2 linked regions of the Rattus norvegicus genome follow. The protein of the gene in region 2 binds, or shares a complex with, the protein of the main gene of each other region. Links are inferred from orthologs where the notes say so. Each region holds a gene or a part of one and is shown on either strand. Other genes may lie near its edges. The genes, in order: Nme1 and Anp32a.

Region 1 (4,470 bases), on a different chromosome or scaffold from region 2:
CTTCGGCATTTACTGGAATACTGTCATCTGAGTGGGTGGCATGGACATAATCACAGAAAGTGATTGGATGATTAGGACCAGTTGTGCCATACAACTATGTATAGATTTCATAGGGATGTCAGAATTGCTTCCCTTCCCTCTGTTCTGTCAGAAGCACCCCACAAGCAAAACTGCAGATTTCTCCCCCAAAGCCCGACTTACCACGCCTGATTTACACGAGGCACTATCAGTCAGTAATTAGTAAAGCAAAGACCTTCTTCCCGACAACCTACTTCAAGGGTAAGGTGTAGGAGTTAGAAGGATAGTCTCTAAAATTATCTGTTTAGAAGGCTAAAGACCAAGAGCTCTAAAACACGCAGAGCTGAGTCAGAAATTACAGCTCTGCAGTAATATGAGGGACTTCATGCTGTTATGGAGGAAGAGAGACTATTTTTGAAAGCCCTAAATGACTTGGTTTGTTCCAAGACTCAGCCTGCATGCTTAGTCACTGAGAGGTTTTCAGGCTCCAAGACGCCCTACCATGGAGACGTCTAGACAGGAGACAAGGCAACCACGGAAGTTACTCTGCAGTGTTCCACTATGCCCTCCAAAGATTCAAAACAGGAAGAGTGAGGTCCACTCACCTGTATAAATTTCAAACCAACCAGGCGGAATCCCTTCTGCTCGAATCGCTTGATGATCTCTCCCACAAGCCCCCGCTGGACCCCATCAGGCTTGATGGCGATGAAGGTACGCTCGCTGTTGGCCATGGTCCTGGGGACAGGCAGGCAGGGAAGTGAGACAGGGCTGAAAAGATGTTCAGTGTGATCCTTTTCGAGCGGATTACTACCATAAAACTGGCTTTCATCTCTTACGCCTACCCTAAGTCTCTCTAGTAAAACCCCAATCCCTGCCCAGTTCATTCAGCCATGGATTAATATCCTGAAATGAGGAAGGGCTCAAAAACAGAAAATGTAATGTCTATTCCATTTGATTTAGTAAGGTCCCATTGCCCTTCTATTGTGCCCTTAACAGTGTGGTGGAACTTAGGAAGGAGATGTAAAACTAAGGCCTGCACACACCAAAAAGACAGCACTTTTTTCAGTGACACACATCAGGGGAACCGGCACTGGTGTGGCTTTCCCAGTCAAAGTTACATCTGGAACAAGACAGTCTGACCTACGACGTTCAAGCGTTTTAGAGAATAGGTCATGACAACCATCTTTGTTTTTTACAAAGAATGGAATTTCCCAGCCCTACGCAATTTGGGACACATCTTGGGATGTAATGAGAAAAACCAAGCCTGAGGAATCATGGCAGTAATTCCATCCCTAGGAAGGCTAAGGCAAAAAGGTAAAAAATTCCAGGCCAGCCTAGGCAACGTAAGACCCTGACTCAAAAAACAAACAAACAATGACTATGTTCTATTATAGATTGGGGAGGGGGACTCAGAAGACCCAAGGCCTTGGGAGCTATTGGCAATGAATGGTTGGGAGGTCATTTTCTTCATTGGTGTAGCCATGGGTAAACTGTCCATGCCACAGTAAATAACTCCTCTATCCATCAAACAAGCAACTCCAATTAAACTCAATCACATACACACACACACACACACACACACACACACACACACACACACACACGACAAAAATAGCAGACATGAAACTTCTTAGAAGGAATTCAGGCAAGATGAGGGGAGGTAAAATGACTAAATATATCACATACATATAATTGTCAGAAAATAAAAAGATAAAAATTTGAAAGTCCATTAAGAATAGCAAAATAGCAATTAACATTTATTAAACTATGTATTATGGGAAAAGGGCAATGATTACTGTGACTAACCAGTGAACTGTGGATTGTAAGAGAACCACAGCACAATACCTAACATGGGACATTATCCAGGAAGGAAGACTTTTGGAGAACATCCATTCCAGAATGTTCCATTTCCAGGGAACACTGTCTCACAAGATGAAAGGAGACTCCACCCTGAAAGACAATACCTCAGAGGATAGCAACCCCAGCCTGGATCTGTCTTTCTAAACTTGGGATAACCTCTAATTGTATACCTTAAGAATGAGGCCTGAGCCAGCTAGATGGCTCAGGGGATCATGAGTTGTACCACAAGCATAAGTTTGATCCCACGAACCCACTCCACAAAGTTATCTTCTGGTGTTCACATGTGAGCCAAGACATGCATGAACAAGCGCACACAAACAATAATAAATAACCTTTTAATGATCATTTTGTTGGTGTCTTCCTCCCCCTCCCGCCTCCCCTGTCTGTAACCTGTAACCTGCATAGTTGATCTAAGCCAATACACCCAGCTTTGATACTAAGTCACAGGGCCTCGCAGTCAATAGGAGCAAAGAGCATGCCTTAAGTGGCGATCACGCCTTCCAAAAAGAGAAAAGACAGAACCCACAGACTAGCTGGAGAATGTCTGAAGGAACGTGAAGCAAGCACTGATTACTCAGAAATGGCCTGCCATGCCACCAGAAACAACTAACAACTGATCTCTCTCTCTCTCTCTCTCTCTCTCTCTCTCTCTCTCTCTCTCTCTCTCTCTCTCCACACACACACACACACACACACACACACACACACATTCAACTCATTCATTTATTCATTCATTCAGCAAGCACCGCCGAAGTACCAGCTCTGTGCCCAACACCGGTCTGGAAAGAGAATAAGGCACAGCCCTGCCGTGCAGCTTGACAGGAACTGCAGCCACGGACAAAGGCGAGCCCACGTGGTGTGTCAAGCTGACAGGTCTGTACCTGTCCACAGCCTGCCATCTCCCGCAACACCTCTAGGAGAATGCACCCTTTATTTAACGCCCACCGCCCTCTCCACTCACCTAGACCCTCAACCTGTCTCCTTTCCCTCTCAGCACCCGAACCCCTCTCACCCCTTCTGACGCCCGGTCTTTAACTCTGGTGGCGACTGCCCGCACCGGAAATGCGCCCTGGCCTTACGTGGTTCCCTACAGCTGCAAGCTCGGAACTTTCATACAGTTCTGATTCAGGGGAGCCCTTTTGGCGGTACACCGCCGATCCCTGCTTCCTCTGGGGAGTAGGATGTCATTCTAGGGAGCACTCTCCCGGTGTCTAACTTCCGACACTGGGTGTGGTGTTTTGGGTCCCCACCCCCACCCACCCACTGGCTGGCGGCCATCTTTTGTTTCTCCCCTCCCGCCGTGTGACTCACTTCCTTCGTTCCCGAGAAAATTTGGTTTCCCGAGAGGTGGCGCTCACACTGCGTGAAGTCACAACCAGAGCTTCAGTAGCCGCGTCATTCCACCTTCCCTTCCTCTTGTCAAACAACAAATGTACTGAATACTATGTGCCTGACACCTAGGGTGGAAGCAGTGAGCTTACTTGGGGCTTACTGGTAAGGGTTAGAATTGAGGCAAACAATAAAAAGAAAATTGAGAGCGAATATACGGTGCAAGTGCTGTGAAGAAAGAAGAGCAGAGAAAAAAAAAAAAAATAAGGTTGGGAAATCTCTGCAGAAGTGATAATCAAATAGACCTACATGAAGGCAGGAAGCCTATTATTACCTGAGAGCCAAGAATTACAGTGAATACCTGATGCTTGGAAACGCAGAAGGAGGGTTTTCTATCATTATTATTATTATTGTTGTATTGTAGGGTCTCATTATGTAGTCCTGACTGTCCTGGAACTCACTATGTAGACCAGGCTGGCCATGGCCTCGCAGAGATTCCCTCTAGGATTAAAAGAGTGGGCAACCACATCTGGCATTGTTTATGTATTTGTTTATTTGTTAAGATGTGTTTATTTTATGTATGAGTGCTCTATCTGCATGGATAATTGCATGCCAGAAGAAAACGTCAGATCTGGTTACAGTTGGTTGCTGGGGATTGAACTCAGGACCTCTGGAAGAGCAGTCAGTGCTCTTAACCACTGAGCCATCTCTCCAACCCCTTATTATTTATTCAGGCGTACACGTGTATGTCTATGTATGAAGCAGTCAGGTTCCCCGGAGCCGGAGTTACAGTTGCGAGTGATCTGATGTGAGTGCTAGGAACGGAACTTGGGTTTTCTACAAGAACAGTGTGTGCTCTATCACCGCTGAACTAGCTCTCCAGCACACATGATTTTTTTGTTTGTTTGTTTGCTTGCTTTTTGTCTTTTGTTTTAATGGAGGGACTGGGGTGTTGGTCAATGAGAAGGGCCTCGCCTGGATGGATTCACAGCATTGGGAAGCCTGAAGCAAGAACATCAAGACTTACAGGCCACCTGGATGACATAGAGAGAGTATGTCTCCCACAAAACAAGCCCGTGGGAGCACAAGGTTGGCAGAACGGCTCTGTGATTTCGAGGCAAGCCTGGTCTCCATAGTGAATTCCAGGCTAGCCAGCACAACATAGTAAAAGCTTATCGCAAAAAAACAAAACAAACAGTCAAACACACACAGTCTAATCACAAAATGGGCAAAAGACAAGAATAGACATTTCATAGGTAGAAT
Region 2 (3,236 bases):
ACGGACTCCCCAACGTTGTCTTGATATGTGCACGCGCACTCACGTGCCCACGCGCGCGCGCACACACACACACACACACACACACACGCTGTAAATAGTTTTTTTAAATATTTAAGTGTTATTACTTATGAGGAGGATGCTGCGGGAGAAACTAGAAATAATCCAACAATCTACCTGTTTGGTTACAATAAATCCAATCAGAACCCAGACATGAGATTAGCAGGGAACACCTAGCACTTCAGAAAACCCCAAGAACAGAGACCCAGGACCATAAATAAAAAGGTAATACAATAAATACCAGCTGTTAAGCCTAGGGTGTGTTAAATAATGTTTTATACATTCCTGAGTTTAAGTATACATTCTTTTACAATATGAAAAAAACCTCAAAGATGCTCAAAGATATTTAATTTTTTTTTTTTCCGGAGCTGGGGACCGAACCCAGGGCCTTGCGCTTCCTAGGCAAGCGCTCTACCACTGAGCTAAATCCCCAACCCCGCTCAAAGATATTTAAAAAAACAAAACAAAACAAAACAAAAAAAACCCAAGGGCTATTTATTGTTGGTCTGGTTTCTGGGTGCTTTATTTATGTATTTATTTATAAGTCTTGTACCCTTTTTTCCTCCTTCCCCCACTTTAAAAAATGTAGCCTTTAAGTAGAACATACCACTCAGGCTTGCTTTGTGAACAAAGTCTTCAACCTCCGTGTAAGAAAGCTGTTTAGCGGGTGACATGACTTCCCTCCAGGGTCAGCAGTTGATCCTAGGATGATCAATGGCTTGTAAGGACTCGAAAGAAGCCATCTCCCCCAAAATTGTATAAAAAAGATTTATTGAAATTTATCAATGACAAACAGACATAAAACTCAAAGTTTGGCTCTTCTCAGGGGCGGGAGAAAAATGAGTTACAGCTGATCTGTACAAATGAGACACAGGGTAGGAAACAGCACGTCACTTCTAAAGCAATCTGGAAGGGGGACGCTGAAGGCACACGCACTCTCTAGGAGAAATCTGCGGCCACTTCAGAGTCCCACCAGGTAAGAAAATACGAGCTTGCATTCCTTTTCCGTGCTCCTATGTATTTGAGAAGGAAAACAAACAGAACCAAAACCCAGAGGACACACAGGGCGCTTCCAGAGCTTAGATTTGTTAAAAGGTTCTAAGCTGGAGCGCCCGAGGAGTCCTCCTGCCATTTCTGTAAAACAAATTGCTCTAATATTTTACAGAACAAGATAGAACAGGTTGGCTTTTCTGAAGAAGCTGAAACACGAAGGTTCACTTCTTTCCCATTTTACGTGTCTCCTAAACCTGCCGCGTTTTGTTGTTGTTTTGTTTTCTGTTTTTTTTTCTTTTCTTTTCTTTTTGGCTCTCAGGATCACAGCCATAGAATAACAAGAGCTCTCTTTGCACTGACATCTGTGGAGGGGGAAAGGGGGTGAGAGATGGGGACTGTCCCCAAACCAGTGCCAAAATACGCCTTTTCGGTTGCTATTTACAAACCAGGGTGCTGGGTGCCTCTGGCAGCGACCACACGAACCAGAACAGGAGTTAGTGAAGAAGACGGCTCTTGGGCTGTGAGTCACCTGGTGGAGGCCAGCCACGGCCTCCTGATCAACTCTGGGGATGTGGGACATACCAGAAAAGGTTAGAGACCTCCAAGCCATCCTCTCTGGAGAGTAAGAACAAACGCTTGGTGTGCACTAAGCTATTGCAGTTATGGGGACAAAACCAGACACAGGAAAAAGGAAGGGGGAAAAGAAAGTGTGGCAGTAAAAATAGTATTTTATTCCTCCCCTCCCACCCCCACCCCACCCCCGGCAATCCCCAGTACACTTTGCCCCTCTCATTCCCACAGCAACGCTACAATCAGAAAAAAATAAGTTTCGGGGGGCAGGAATAGGAGGGGGAGGGGATATGGGTAAAAACAGTCAAATCACAATAGGAATTTCCCCAAACAGGTTAATTCCCCTTAGTCATCCTCTTCGCCCTCGTCATCGGGCTCTCGTTTTCGCTTCTGACTCCCTTCTTCTTCTGGAAAAACAAGGAAAAGGGATGGTTACCAGGCAGCCATCTTTCAGGCAGCCCTGAAACCGGAGCATATCTAGGAAGCATGAGTTATTCCCCTTGTCCCCCACTGTTTGGCCCTTAAAGCCCAAAGCAATGCTAGAGTCAAGGGGGTCAGCCTGCCACCAGGAGAGAGCAAGAAGGCTGACATACCAGCAGCATCTTCTTCATCTTCCTCATCATCCACTTCCCCGTCGTTGTAACCTTCTTCATCCTCCTAGGGGCAAAGACAGACAGCAGGGTATTAGAAGTGCCCCTGCTGGGTCTAGGGAGGCAGCTCCCCAGTTCCATCGATCCGAACATAGGAGCGGGGCCCAGCAGCACACAGGTGTATCCCAGCACCTTGGAGACAGACAGGAGCTCACCAGTAGCCAGTTTAGCCAATCAGTGAGTTCCAGGTTCAACAAGAGACCTTGGCTCAAGAGATAAGGTGGGTTGTGACTGAGAAACACAACTGACACTGACTTCTGGCCTCCACACATGCTGCATGCACACACAAGTATGTGTACACACGCTAGTGTACACACACACACACACACACACACACACACACACACACACACACACACACACGAGTTAGAGAGAGATGTCCCTGCCTAGGGAGGCCTTGCATCCCATCACAATGAGGCCTACAGCACAGGGTGAACACACAGTAGGGCTTCTTACTGTTTTGTATAAGGAGTCATTGGAGTCAGAAGACTTTCAACATGTGCCCTGAGACATTTCCCACATCAAGTAAGATATTGGTGGTTACCTTGGGTGTGGGGTCGTTTTGGACTGCCCTGTGTTAGAAAAACTGGATGTGCAGTCCCTAGAAAAAAGGCAGCTTGACAGTGCGCAGGCTCTTAGGAGACCAGGCTCCCTAGGCAGATGCCCTGTCATTGAAAGTAGGCCATCCTTTCTTGCATCTGTCCTCAATATGGTTTTAGCTTCAAGGGAAAGACCCCAGTTTCTGCAAATGAAGAATCAAGTGGACAAGCCTGGCTGTCCTTCCTGGGCCCTCCCCCCAACAAAGCCTGGGCAGCTGAAGGGGTGGGGTGCAGCAGATAGACTCAAGGGCCCTTGAGGACCTCACATCCAATGTGCTTGGGATTCAGCCAGTCCTGAAGTCATCCTCCCATTCTAGGCTCCTTGTTCTGGGTCTTTCCCAGGGTTCCATGCTGGTAGCCTCTCTGG

The links.
Region 1: Anp32a (region 2) and Nme1 share a complex: the UniProt entries of both Homo sapiens proteins name them as parts of the SET complex. The link is inferred for Rattus norvegicus from reciprocal best matches to the Homo sapiens genes ANP32A and NME1.

Annotation. Positions count from the first base shown.
Region 1 is NC_086028.1:79,410,315-79,414,784, forward strand, and holds the start of Nme1 (nucleoside diphosphate kinase A), read right to left. Parts: upstream 2,997-4,470; 5' UTR 2,891-2,996; exon of another isoform or gene 2,840-2,890; intron 2,803-2,839; exon of another isoform or gene 2,636-2,802; intron 754-2,635; 5' UTR 750-753; coding exon 624-749; intron 1-623. UniProt on the Homo sapiens protein: Major role in the synthesis of nucleoside triphosphates other than ATP. The ATP gamma phosphate is transferred to the NDP beta phosphate via a ping-pong mechanism, using a phosphorylated active-site intermediate.
Region 2 is NC_086026.1:71,758,498-71,761,733, reverse strand, and holds the end of Anp32a (acidic leucine-rich nuclear phosphoprotein 32 family member A), read right to left. Parts: intron 2,278-3,236; coding exon 2,214-2,277; intron 2,028-2,213; coding exon 1,966-2,027; 3' UTR 812-1,965; downstream 1-811. UniProt on the Homo sapiens protein: Multifunctional protein that is involved in the regulation of many processes including tumor suppression, apoptosis, cell cycle progression or transcription. Promotes apoptosis by favouring the activation of caspase-9/CASP9 and allowing apoptosome formation.